Linked DNA regions of Callithrix jacchus. The protein of the gene in region 1 interacts with the protein of each later gene in a biochemical or structural test. Links are inferred from orthologs where the notes say so. Each region holds a gene or a part of one and is shown in the gene's direction. Other genes may lie near its edges.

Region 1 (3,511 bases):
CAATATTTCCATGAAAATTCTGGGAGCTTTAACACCAGATTGAGTTTTTTTAAAAGCCATCAGAACAAATTAAAGCACCCTTATTTAACCTTTTAAATAATCATATTCAAATAAAAGCAAATAGATGAGACAACAGGGGCCAAATTTTAAGTCAGGGCTTTATTAAAAGCTACCCAATTGATGACCATCAAGTGGTAATGATTCTGCAACCAAAACAGTCATACTAAATGTAAATCAGAAACGCAAAACCAGTTTTTATAGGGATTTATTAAGCTGACTTCTCAATGTCTTCAATAATGCATTGTTTGTGTCTGTTGAATTTTTTGTTATTTGTTTTGCCTTTTGAAATCTGATTTATAAATCAAATTCAAAATCTCTGCAAAAGAAGGATATTACAAGAAAATATATTCATAAATTAACATCATTCTGATCTTCAGCTCAGTATTTCTCAAACTAGAATGAAGTTTTAAAGTACATTGTAATCAGTGGCTTTTGTGGGTTGTTTTTGGTTTTGTTTTGAGACAGAGTCTCACTCTTGTTGCCCAGTTTGGAGTGCAATGACACAATCTCAGCTCACTGCAATGTCTGCCTACTGGGTTTGAGCAATTCACCTGCCTCCGCCTCCCGAGTAGCTGTGATTACAGGCACACACCACCACGCCTGGCCAATTTTTTTTTTTTTGAGACAGAGTTTTGCTCTTATTGCCCAGGCTGGAGTGCAGTAGCTCAGTCTTGGCTAACTGCAACCTCCTGCCTCGTGGGTTTAAGTGATTCTCCTGCCTCAGCCTTCTGAGTAGCTGGGATTACAGGTGCACATCACCACACCCAGCTAATTTTTTATATTTTTAGTAGAGATGGGGTTTCATCATGTTGGCCAGGCTAGTCTCGAACTCCTGACCTCAGGTGATCCACCAGCCTTGGCCTCCCAAAGTACAGGGATTACAGGTATGAGTCACCATGCCCAGCCTAATTTTTTAATATTTTAAAAATGTTAGCCAGGCTGGTCTCAAACTCCAGACCTCAGGTGATCCACCTGCCTCAGCCTCCCAAAGTGCTGGGATTACAGGCATGAGCCACTACATCCAGCCAATAGCTTCTTAAACTCAATAAATAAGGCGGTATTTAAAGATAGACTGTTTGACCCCATCAAAAAGTGGACAAAGGTTATGAACAGACACTTCTCAAAAGCCACATTTATGCAGCCAACAAACATGAAAAAAAAGCTCAATATGACTGATCATTAGAGAAATGCAAATAGAAACCACAGTGAGATATCATCTCATAGTAGTCAGAATGGCAATTATTAAAAATTCAAGATGCAATAAATACTGGCACGGCTGTGAAGAAACAGGAACACTTTTACACTGTTCGTGGGAGTATAAATTAGTTCAACGAATGTGGAAGACAGTGTGGCGATTCCTCAAGGATCTAGAATCAGAAGTACCATTTGACCCAGCAATCCCATTACTGGGTATATACCCAAAGGAATAGAAATCATTCTACTATAAAGTAATTCTGCCATAAATCATTCTACTATGCATGTACACACATGTTTATCGCAACACTATTAACAATAGCAAAGACAGGAACCAACCAAATGCCTGTCAATTATAGACTGTATCAGGAAAATGTGGTACATATACACCATGGAATACAATGCAGCCATAAAAAGAAATGAGATCATGTCCTTTGCAGGGACCTGGAAGAAGCTGGAAGCCATCATCCTCAGTAAATTAACACAGGAACAAAACTAAACACTGCATGTTCTCACGCATAAGTCGGAGTTGAACAATGAGAACACATGGACACAGGGAGGGGAACAACAAACACCAGGGCCAGTCAGGGGTTGGGTAGGCAATGGGAGAGAGAGCATTAGGACAAATAGCTAATGCATGTGGGGCTTAAAACCTAGATGACAGGTTGATAGGTGCAGCAAACCACTATGGCACATGTATACCTATGTAACAAACTACACATTCTCTACTTATATCCTGGAACTTAAGGTAAAATTAAAAAGAAAAAAAAAGGTATCAGGTGTGAAGGAGGATTTCTGGCTATAGAGACTTGACAGGATTCTTGCTGAATGCAGGTTAAGGTGGTCAGTAATCACCTGGAAGATGGTGCGGAATGAGGACGTAGATTATATATCAAGAATGGGTGATTTTGGCTAAATCAACTTAGCAGGATTCTTGCTAAAACTGGGCTTTGAAGGACATGCCAAGGATGAGGCCTAGTGAAAAAAGAGCTCAGAGGAGCCTGTCTAGAGTTTGGTTAAGGACAGCCTCTTTGTCAGTGTATGTATATATGCACAGATACACATATAGATACACATATATAAATAAAATTAGTTGATTCATAAGATAGAAGAAAGATAGACTGTACAAGTAGTCAGTGGAGTTACTTGCTCCTCTTCTGTGTACCAGATACCTGCTACAATGTGTCTAGCTTTGCATGGTCACTTAGATATGACTCAGAGGGTATACTAACAATGATAATATGAATTATCAGGATTTTTTTTTAATGATTCACTTGAGCTTGAAGTCAAAATTATTTTGCTACTAAAATAAGTAGGATTTTAGATACTTACACGTACATTTTAGAGAGGAATTAGAAAAGGTTTAATGTCTGTATTAGAAGTCTGTCTTTGCAGCAGTTAACAGTAAGATGTTTCAGATTTAGTTGCTAAATAGTAGTTATTTTTCCTCCTCTGGCAAAAAAAAAAACTTATTTGTTGATTTTAATATTTTTAACATGATTATGTTTTACCAGGTGATGTTATTGTAGACATCAATGGCAACTGTGTCCTCGGTCACACTCATGCAGATGTTGTCCAGATGTTTCAGTTGGTACCTGTCAATCAGTATGTAAACCTCACGTTATGTCGTGGTTATCCACTTCCTGATGACAGTGAAGATCCTGTTGTGGATATTGTTGCTGCTACCCCTGTCATCAATGGACAGTCACTAACAAAGGGAGAGACTTGCATGAATCCTCAGGATTTTAAGCCAGGAGCAATGGTTCTGGAGCAGAATGGAAAATCGGGACACACTTTGACTGGTGATGGTCTCAATGGACCATCAGAAACAAGTGAGCAGAGAGCATCCATGGCATCGTCAGGCAGCTCCCAGCCTGAACTACTGACTATCCCTTTGATTAAGGGCCCTAAAGGGTTTGGGTTTGCAATTGCTGACAGCCCTACTGGACAGAAGGTAAAAATGATATTGGATAGCCAGTGGTGTCAAGGCCTTCAGAAAGGAGATATAATTAAGGAAATTTACCATCAAAATGTGCAGAATTTAACACATCTTCAAGTGGTAGAGGTGCTAAAGCAGTTTCCAGTAGGTGCCGATGTACCATTGCTTATCTTAAGAGGAGGTAAGTAATAGCACAACATAGAAAAAGTTCCAGTGTTCAAGCATTTATATCTATTGATTGTCCTTCCTTACAGTTTAGAGGATCTTTTCCCTGCAGTCTTAGATAGTAATCAGTGCACATTTTCCTTAAGGTTCTGT
Region 2 (4,302 bases), on another chromosome or scaffold:
AACATTTTCATGCACCCTTACATAAACAATTAGAAGCTGTTTACTTCTCAAGGACCCAATTAAAGATATTTTGTTTTTCGAGCCTGAACTGAGGACACTACAGGGGCCAAATGAGAGAAGGGGCTTGCAGTCCTGCCGCACTGAATATTCATGGCTGTGCCCCCACCCCAATATAATCCATTTCGCCAGGTTAACAACTCACTCATTTCAAAGCGATTCATTTGCCAACTCAAAAAAACACAGATACAACTTTAAATGCTTTCGGATTTTAATCCTCTGGAGTATTTATATGTGTTCTTGTCTCATCCCTCCAAAACTAATCCCAGAGTTTTGAGAATCTGGGAACTTGGGAAAAGGAGAAAACAAGCAGCAGACCAAGGAATCTGAAATGGTAGTTCATGACGTCAGCCGAAACTGACAGTACCTTTGTGTTGGTACTGACCTAGCTCAAATTACAAAATCACAAGAGTAATAAAACACAAAATACAGGTGTTATCACTGACAAGTCTAAAATGTAATTAAGCATGTTTTTTTTCCCCTCGCAGTCGTACCGTTTGCTCTGTATCTCAACGTTTCTGTCTCCCTAAGCCTCTCCCTTTATCATGAGCACACACCGTTGCATCTTGCTCACACATTCATTAGCTGGGACTGAGGAGTGAATACGATGCCAGCGGGTCCTCAGCGTTAGCTGTTAGATGCACAAACCTTCGCATCCTTTCCACTTCCACTGCACTTGAGGTTCAACAGAAGATCCCTGCAAGAACAGCGCCCAGAGAGCATTCTGAACAGATGCGCCCTTGGCTCCAGCAACCCGCTCTGCTGGGAAGTTTCCTCTAACCACTAACACCCACCTCTGATCCCCCAAGCTGTCACGACACAGGCTGGCTGGGTCGCCTCTTGACGGGGGAAGGGTTTTACACACACCCTGCTAGGCTGCCCCATGCCACAACCAAGCTCGCAGGGCAAACTCCTTCATGCCCGGCGGGCAAGCAGTCCCAGGCGCTCTGGCGCTTCCAGAACACCAAGGTCCCCTCCTCGCTCCAAGGAGCGAGCGCTCTCTGCCGCAGGGAACCCCCAGGACTGCAGGTCGAGGGGATGCTGGGGAAGCAGGGGCGCAGGAGGGAGCCTGGCGCGGGAGGCAAACGGGGCGCAGCAGCGGCTGCGGGAGCACTTGGGGGCCGCGGGAGGGGGCGGGGCCCCTCGGGGGAGCCGGGCGCGGGAGGGGGTGCGCGGAACAGGGACCTGGAACCAGCGGGCGCAGGAAGGGGCGCGTCCGCAGGAACCCGCGGGCCGCACGGGAGGCACTAGCTCCGCGATCAGCTCCGGACTCTCAGGAGCGGCTCAATTGCCAACTGGAGTGGGGTGCGGGGAGTTGGGGGGGGCAGACCCGACGGGGGCGTGCCTTTGCCCCGATTGGCTACAGGAACCTGACGCGAGGCCCCGGGGGTTGGCTTGGGGAGGTGGGAGCGGGGTGGGGTGGGTGCTGGGTGCCGGAGCTGCGGGCCCGGCGCGCTCAGAAACATGCTGAGGTCCCGGCGGCTCTTCCAGCAGCGGCAGCGGCGGCGGCGGCGGCGGCGACAGCGACAGCGCTCGGATCCGGCGGGAAAGGCGCCCGGCGCCCATGCCTCCGGCCCCGCGCCGTGGCTGTCCTGACCCGGCCGCGACCTCCCTCGGCGCACCCCGCCGCCCGGGCTCCTGGGGTGTTCCCTAGCCACTGCCCAGCCCCGCCACACCCACCGCCCCCGGCCTCCGCAGCTCGGCATGGGCGCGGGGGCGCTCGTCCTGGGCGCCTCCGATCCCGCCAACCTGTCGTCGGCTGCGCCGCTCCCCGACGGCGCGGCCACTGCGGCGCGGTTGCTGGTGCCCGCGTCGCCGCCCGCCTCGCTGCTGCCTCCCGCCAGCGAAGGCCTCGAGCCGCTGTCGCAGCAGTGGACGGCGGGTATGGGCCTGCTGATGGCGCTTATCGTGCTGCTCATCGTGGCGGGCAACGTGCTGGTGATTGTGGCCATCGCCAAGACGCCGCGGCTGCAGACGCTCACCAACCTCTTCATCATGTCCTTGGCCAGCGCCGACCTGGTCATGGGGCTGCTGGTGGTGCCGTTCGGGGCCACCATCGTGGTGTGGGGCGGCTGGGAGTACGGCTCCTTCTTCTGCGAGCTGTGGACCTCGGTAGACGTGCTGTGCGTGACGGCCAGCATCGAGACCCTGTGTGTCATCGCCCTGGACCGCTACCTCGCCATCACGTCGCCCTTCCGCTACCAGAGCCTGCTGACGCGCGCGCGGGCAAGGGGCCTCGTGTGCACCGTGTGGGCCATCTCGGCGCTGGTGTCCTTCTTGCCCATCCTCATGCACTGGTGGCGGGCGGAGAGCGACGAGGCGCGCCGCTGCTACAACGACCCCAAGTGCTGCGACTTCGTCACCAACCGGGCCTACGCCATCGCCTCGTCCGTGGTCTCCTTCTACGTGCCCCTATGCATCATGGCCTTCGTGTACCTGCGGGTGTTCCGCGAGGCCCAGAAGCAGGTGAAGAAGATCGACAGCTGCGAGCGCCGGTTCCTCGGCGGCCCGGAGCGGCCGCCCTCACCCGCCCCCGCGCCCGCGCCGCCGTCAGCGCCAGGACCCCCGCGCCCCAACGCCGCCGCCGCCGCCGCCCCCCTGGCCAACGGGCGCGCGGGCAAGCGGCGGCCCTCGCGCCTCGTGGCCCTGCGCGAGCAGAAGGCGCTCAAGACGCTGGGCATCATCATGGGAGTGTTCACGCTCTGCTGGCTGCCCTTCTTCCTGGCCAACGTGGTGAAGGCCTTCCACCGCGAGCTGGTGCCTGATCGCCTCTTCGTCTTCTTCAACTGGCTGGGCTACGCCAACTCGGCCTTCAACCCCATCATATACTGCCGCAGCCCGGACTTCCGCAAGGCCTTCCAGCGCCTGCTCCGCTGCGCGCGCAGGGCCGCCAGCCGGCGCCACGCGGCCCACGGGGACCGGCCGCGCGCCTCGGGCTGCCTGGCCCGGCCCGGTCCTCCGCCGTCGCCCGGGGCCGCGTCGGACGACGACGACGACGATGTCGTCGGGGCCACGCCGCCCGCGCGCCTGCTGGAGCCCTGGGCCGGCTGCAACGGCGGGGCGGCGGCGGACAGCGACTCGAGCCTGGACGAGCCGTGCCGCCCCGGCTTCGCCTCGGAATCCAAGGTGTAGGGGCCCGGCGCCCCGGAACGGCTTCCCGGGGGATCTCGGAGATCTGTGTTTACTCAAGACCGAAAGCAGGTGAACTCGAAGCCCACAAACCTCGTCTGAATCATCCAAGGCAAACAGAAAAGCCACGGACCGTTGCACAAAAAGGAAAGTTTGGGGAGGGGTGGGAGAGTGGCTTGCTGATGTTCCTTGGGTTGTTTTCCTTCTTCTTCTGTTTGTGGTCCGGCCTTCTTTTGTGTGTGCCTGTGATGCATCTTTAGATTTTTCCCCCCAGGTGGTTTTTGACTCCACGAGGATGGGAGTGGAAGCTGGGTGGGCAGGGGAAGGGAGAAGAAGCATTAGGAGGGGATTAAAATCCGATCAACCTGGCTCCCGACCCTGTCCCAGGAACAGGGGCAGTCTACCAGCCAGAGAGAGGAGAATGACAGTTTATCAAGGCATATTTATTTCCTTTTGCTTTCCAGAGAAATTTCATTTTAATTCCTAAGTAATGGTTTCCGCTGTTATGAAAGCGAAAAGGATGGATGCAAAAAAAAAAAAAAAATCACGTTTCAAGAAATGTTAAGCTCTTCTTGGAACAAGCCCCAATTTGCTTTCCTTGTGTAGGGCAAACCCTCTGATCCCCCGCGCGCCTGGATGGTCAGGCTACGGGATTTCTACCTCACACTGTGCATTTGCACAGCAGATAGAAAGACTTGTTTATATTAAACAGCTTATTTATGTATCAATACTAGTTGGAAGGACCAGGCGCAGAGCCTCTCTCTGTGACATGTGACTCTTGTCAATTTAAGACAGGACATGAAAAGAGAGAGAGAGACAGTTTTGATTACTGCACATGTGGATAAAAACAAAAACAAAAAAAGGAGTGGTTCAAAATGCCATTTTTGCACAGTGTTAGGAATTACAAATTCCACAGAAAACATTACTTGCACAAAAAGAAGTTAAATATTTTTTAACTGGGGAAGTGGTGGGCAGATCTTAAAAACTAAAATAAAATTCAAGCTCTACTTCTGTTGTCTAGTATGTTATAGAGCTAATGATTTATTGGGAAAATACCTTTTTATACTCCTTTATCATGGTACTGTAACTGTATCCATATTATAAATATAATTATCT
Region 3 (4,095 bases), on another chromosome or scaffold:
ACAGGATGCAGGGCAGGTGGGTTCAGTTTGATTTCAAAGCCGATTGCCCGCGCCTCAGGTGCTTTGGTGTACCCTATAAGGATTGCATAGGCCAGGCAGCCTAGGCTCTGCGGGTGAAGATTTCTCTACCTCCCAGTGACTCCTCTTCTCCCTTATCAGCTCTGATAGGAGAGAGGAAGAGGGAAGAGGACGTCAAAAGTTCTGTTCATCCGGAAGGGCTGGGAGTTACTTCCTGGGATGGGGAGCTCGTGAGCCAATCCAGAAGACGACCACGGGGTCTGGCGGGAGCCCCAACGCTGCCCTGAAGACTCGGCCGGGAGGGGGCGCTGTGGCCTCCCCACCCCCAGCCCGCAGGCTCCTAGCCGGGTTCGCCGCGCTGCAACGCAATCCGCACCTGGCTTTACCCAGGGCTGCGTTCAGTGCCCACTTGTCCTGCAGGGCACCGCCGTCTCCCTTTCATCTTGGGGCTCCCGGGTCCAAAAGGTTCCCAGATCCAGCCCCTTGCCTGAACCAAAGTGGGCAGGCACTCAGATTGTAAGATGAACGAATGAACGAAGGAACGAACTAATGAATAAGGGCTCATCCTGCAGAACGTTCGCGTCTCAGCGCGCACTAGGCACGTCAATGCCAAAGGTGCTGGGAGTCGGGCTCGGAGCCCGGCGCGGCTGGAGTGGGGGCGGCGAGGAGCTCCCGCTAGCCAGCTGCAGGGCGGGAACTGCCCAAACGCAGGTCGCAGCTTCCCCGGGTTCTGCGGCGGCTTCGCTCAGTGGGGACCGCCCTGTTCCACCGCCACCAATAGCCTCGCCCTCATAAATTCACCTGAGCACCCCCGCCCAAGTGCCCCCGGCTCCCCTGGACTTCCCAGGCCCGGACCTCTGCCCGGCGGGAGGTAGGAGGCTGCATCCTCTCCTGCCACCCCCTCGCCCATCCCGGGCTTCTCCCCGGGCTGCGGCGGCCGCCACCGCCGCAAGCACGCCCGGAGGACTGCCGCAAACCCGGGCGTAGGGAAAGGGGATCCTGGCGGCGGGGCGCAGGCGGCGGGCCAGGGGAAGAGGAGGGAGCGGGGAAGGAGCCGAGGGGCGAGGGGCAGGGAGGGAGCCGAGGGGCGAGGCGCGGAGGAGGGACCGAAGGGGAGGAGAGAGGAGGGGAGGGGAGAGGGAGAGGGAGAGGGAGAGGGAGAGGGAGAGGGAGAGGGAGAGGGAGAGGGAGAGGGAGAGGCGGGGGGGAGGGGGAGGGGAAAGGGGAGGGAGGGGACAAGCTGGGCGAGGGGGCGGGGAGCCAAGGCGAGGAGCCGCGCGGACCTTGCGGGAGGCGGCAGGGGCTAGGCTGGCAAGAAGCGGCCTCCCGCCGGGCTGAGTCGGGAAACGGCGGCCAGACTTCCCCGGGAAGGGGCGAGCGAGAGCCGGCCGGGCCGGGCTGCGGGGACGGGGAGCGCGGAACCGGGCGCCTCCTCACGGGGCAGCCACCGAGGAGTCCGGCCGCCCACCGCGTGCTGCCCGAGCCCGCAGCAGCCCGCCGGCCCCTCTGGGATGCCTGGGGGACCCGGGCGTTCAGGACAGTAACCGAGCGAGCCGGAGGATGGGACGGCACCCGCAGCTCCGGCTTGTCAAGGTAAGAGCCCGCCGGCCCGCCCTCCAGCGCGAGCGCCCCCAGCCCCGGGCAGACGCGGGACAGGCCGGGCTGTGGGTGCGATGGAGGAGGGGGCGCCAGGAGAGCGGCAGTCAGGTCGGGGAAGGCTGGGCTCTGGGGCAGCCTAACTCTCTGGACCTTTGGAGCCAGGGTTTGGTGGGCAGGGGGAGACTCAGGTGAGAAAAGAAATCGTGGCTGAGCCGCCGGGATGTTGGCGGAGGAGGGGTCTGCCCACTCGGGTAGCCGTTTCCGCGCCAAGAATCGCTCTAGGCTTTGGGGCAGACGCTGGGTTCCGCCTCCCACGCCCTCCCTGCAGACCCCGGCCCCAGGACGGGAGGCTCTGAAGCGGGGTTCCCCGCCTCGCCCCAGCACCTTCTCATAGCTCCCCGACTCCGCCCGCCCCCGCCCCAGTCCCGGGAGCGCATCCTGCTCCTTCTCCTCGGCTGCAAGCTGCGAGTCCAGGGAGATTAATGCGGCCCGCGCCTGCGAACCCTTGATCAATATCGCAGTCTCGGGGGAGGGGACCGTGCCTCCGGCGGCGGTTACCATTCCCTCGCCGCGGCCCGGGAGCGCAACACTCGCTCTCCGAGCCTGGGCACCGAGATCCCCGCGCTGCGCAGCCTACCCTGCGACGCGGATCGGTCGCTGGAGTTTAGGAAAGTCGCCAGACCTTACGTCCAGCGTCTGCCCGCTGAACTTCGTGGGCGGCGGGGGCGGCCCAAGGGCCGTGTGCGCCCGGGAAGGGCCGGGAGGCCGGCAGTCCGGCCCGCCCCTAGTGCCAGGCGTCACTTGCAGCCCCGAGCGCTTTCCACAGCGTTCTGGTCTTGCAAGGTGTAGGCGCGCCCGCTGCAGCCGGCCGGAGGGGCGGGTGGGCCTCTGCGCGGCTGCCGGGAAACCCCGTGCCGCACCCGCCTGGGCACGGCCTCGCCCGGGGCTCGGGATCCCTCAGGGTCCGCTTCAGCCACAGACGTAGACGCCAGCCTGACCCGGTTCGGGGCATTCAAAGCGATTACATTAAAGAGACTTTGGTGGATTTGGGGGAGGGGTGCGGATTGGCGGAATTTCATTTTTCCATCAGTTATTAAACCAACTGTACGTATAGCGGCTTACCAAGTGGTTTGAGTTAAAGCACCAAGATTTTTTAATGAGACGTTACAAGTTACTGAGATTTTTCTCTAATCCTGCCCCTCCCCAGATATTTATAAGTTGATTCTTGAAATGACTGAGGGTTGGTCTCATTGAACCCACATCCCCTCCCCTGTCTGTTACCTGAGGGCTAGAGATGAACTCAGAGATTATTTTCTGGGCGTTCAAGGAGACAGACGGATGAGGAAGGTGAAGAAAAACATCCAGAGAGGTCGAATAGGTGGCACTGAATGGGAATATTTTCCAAAAGTCTTGTGTGTATCGAAGCCTGGTCTAAATGCACAAACCAGTTAGACCAAATTCAGTCTTTTGAACGGATTCAAAGGATTGAAATGTGGGTGTTTTTGTTTTTTTTTTTTTTCCAGTTTACACTGAAATAGATCAATGTTCTTTTTCTGGCCTTCTTTAGAGTTGTGTGCAAATCTCTGTTTAGAATGATCATGTTTTTCTTTAAAAAAAAAAAAAGGGGAGTCTTTTTATTTCTGTTATTCCTACCAGATAGTGGGGTGTGTGCTCTTTATGACTGGCCTAATAAACTCAGTCAGCACTCAGTAAATACCAAATGAATGAGGCTGAGCCAGGGAATGGCCAGCGAATGCTGGTTTCAAAGCTGGTTTCTATTAAATAGTTGCTTTTTTCTTTTACTTATGTAGCATGTACAATTCACTGGGCATTATTCTACCTGCTTTGCAAATATTAAGTCATTGAGTCCTCCTAACAGCCCTAGAAAGTAGGAATTATTCCTGAGACACAGAGAGGCTAAGTAACTGGTTCAGGGTCACAGAGCCAGTGAATAGTGAAGTCAGAATTCAAACCTGGGCACTCTGATATAAGGCTTTGTTTTGTTTGCTTTTACCAGAAAATATCTTTTTTTTTTTCTTTTTTTTGGGATAGGGTCTCACTCTGTCACCCAGGTTGGAGTGCAGTGGTGTGATCTCAGCTCACTGAAGCCTCAACCTCCCTGGGCTCCAGTAATCCTCCCACCTCAACCTCCAGAATAGCTGGAACCATAGGCATGCACCACCACACCCAGCTAATTTTTGTATTTTTTATAGAAGTGGGGTTTCACCATATTGCCCAGGCTGGTCTCCAAACTCCTGGGCTCAAGCGATCAGCCAACCTCGGACTCCCAAAATTCTAGGATTACAGACGCGAGCCACTGTGCCCAGCCATTACCAGAAAATATGTTAAGCCCCTTAAACCTCACCCTAGATCTTAGCCAGATGAGAGCCCAGGTAGTTTTGCCAGCATGAGAGTATAAATCTAGGGACTTAGTGTTCATCCCAAATCCAGCGCTGTCCCCAGCAAGTCAGCCAATGT

The links.
Region 2: the proteins of MAGI3 (region 1) and ADRB1 interact in a test that uses a peptide from one of them, tested with the Homo sapiens proteins (2 studies listed by IntAct, with this or other methods). The link is inferred for Callithrix jacchus from reciprocal best matches to the Homo sapiens genes MAGI3 and ADRB1.
Region 3: the proteins of MAGI3 (region 1) and CRHR1 form a complex in vitro, tested with the Homo sapiens proteins (2 studies listed by BioGRID and IntAct, with this or other methods). The link is inferred for Callithrix jacchus from reciprocal best matches to the Homo sapiens genes MAGI3 and CRHR1.

Annotation. Positions count from the first base shown.
Region 1 is NC_133508.1:151,599,125-151,602,635, forward strand, and holds part of MAGI3 (membrane-associated guanylate kinase, WW and PDZ domain-containing protein 3), read left to right. Parts: intron 1-2,768; coding exon 2,769-3,374; intron 3,375-3,511.
Region 2 is NC_133513.1:106,982,679-106,986,980, forward strand, and holds the start of ADRB1 (beta-1 adrenergic receptor), read left to right. Parts: upstream 1-1,492; 5' UTR 1,493-1,761; coding exon 1,762-3,189; 3' UTR 3,190-4,302. UniProt on the Homo sapiens protein: Beta-adrenergic receptors mediate the catecholamine-induced activation of adenylate cyclase through the action of G proteins. This receptor binds epinephrine and norepinephrine with approximately equal affinity.
Region 3 is NC_133506.1:86,534,970-86,539,064, forward strand, and holds the start of CRHR1 (corticotropin-releasing factor receptor 1), read left to right. Parts: upstream 1-1,285; 5' UTR 1,286-1,578; coding exon 1,579-1,611; intron 1,612-4,095.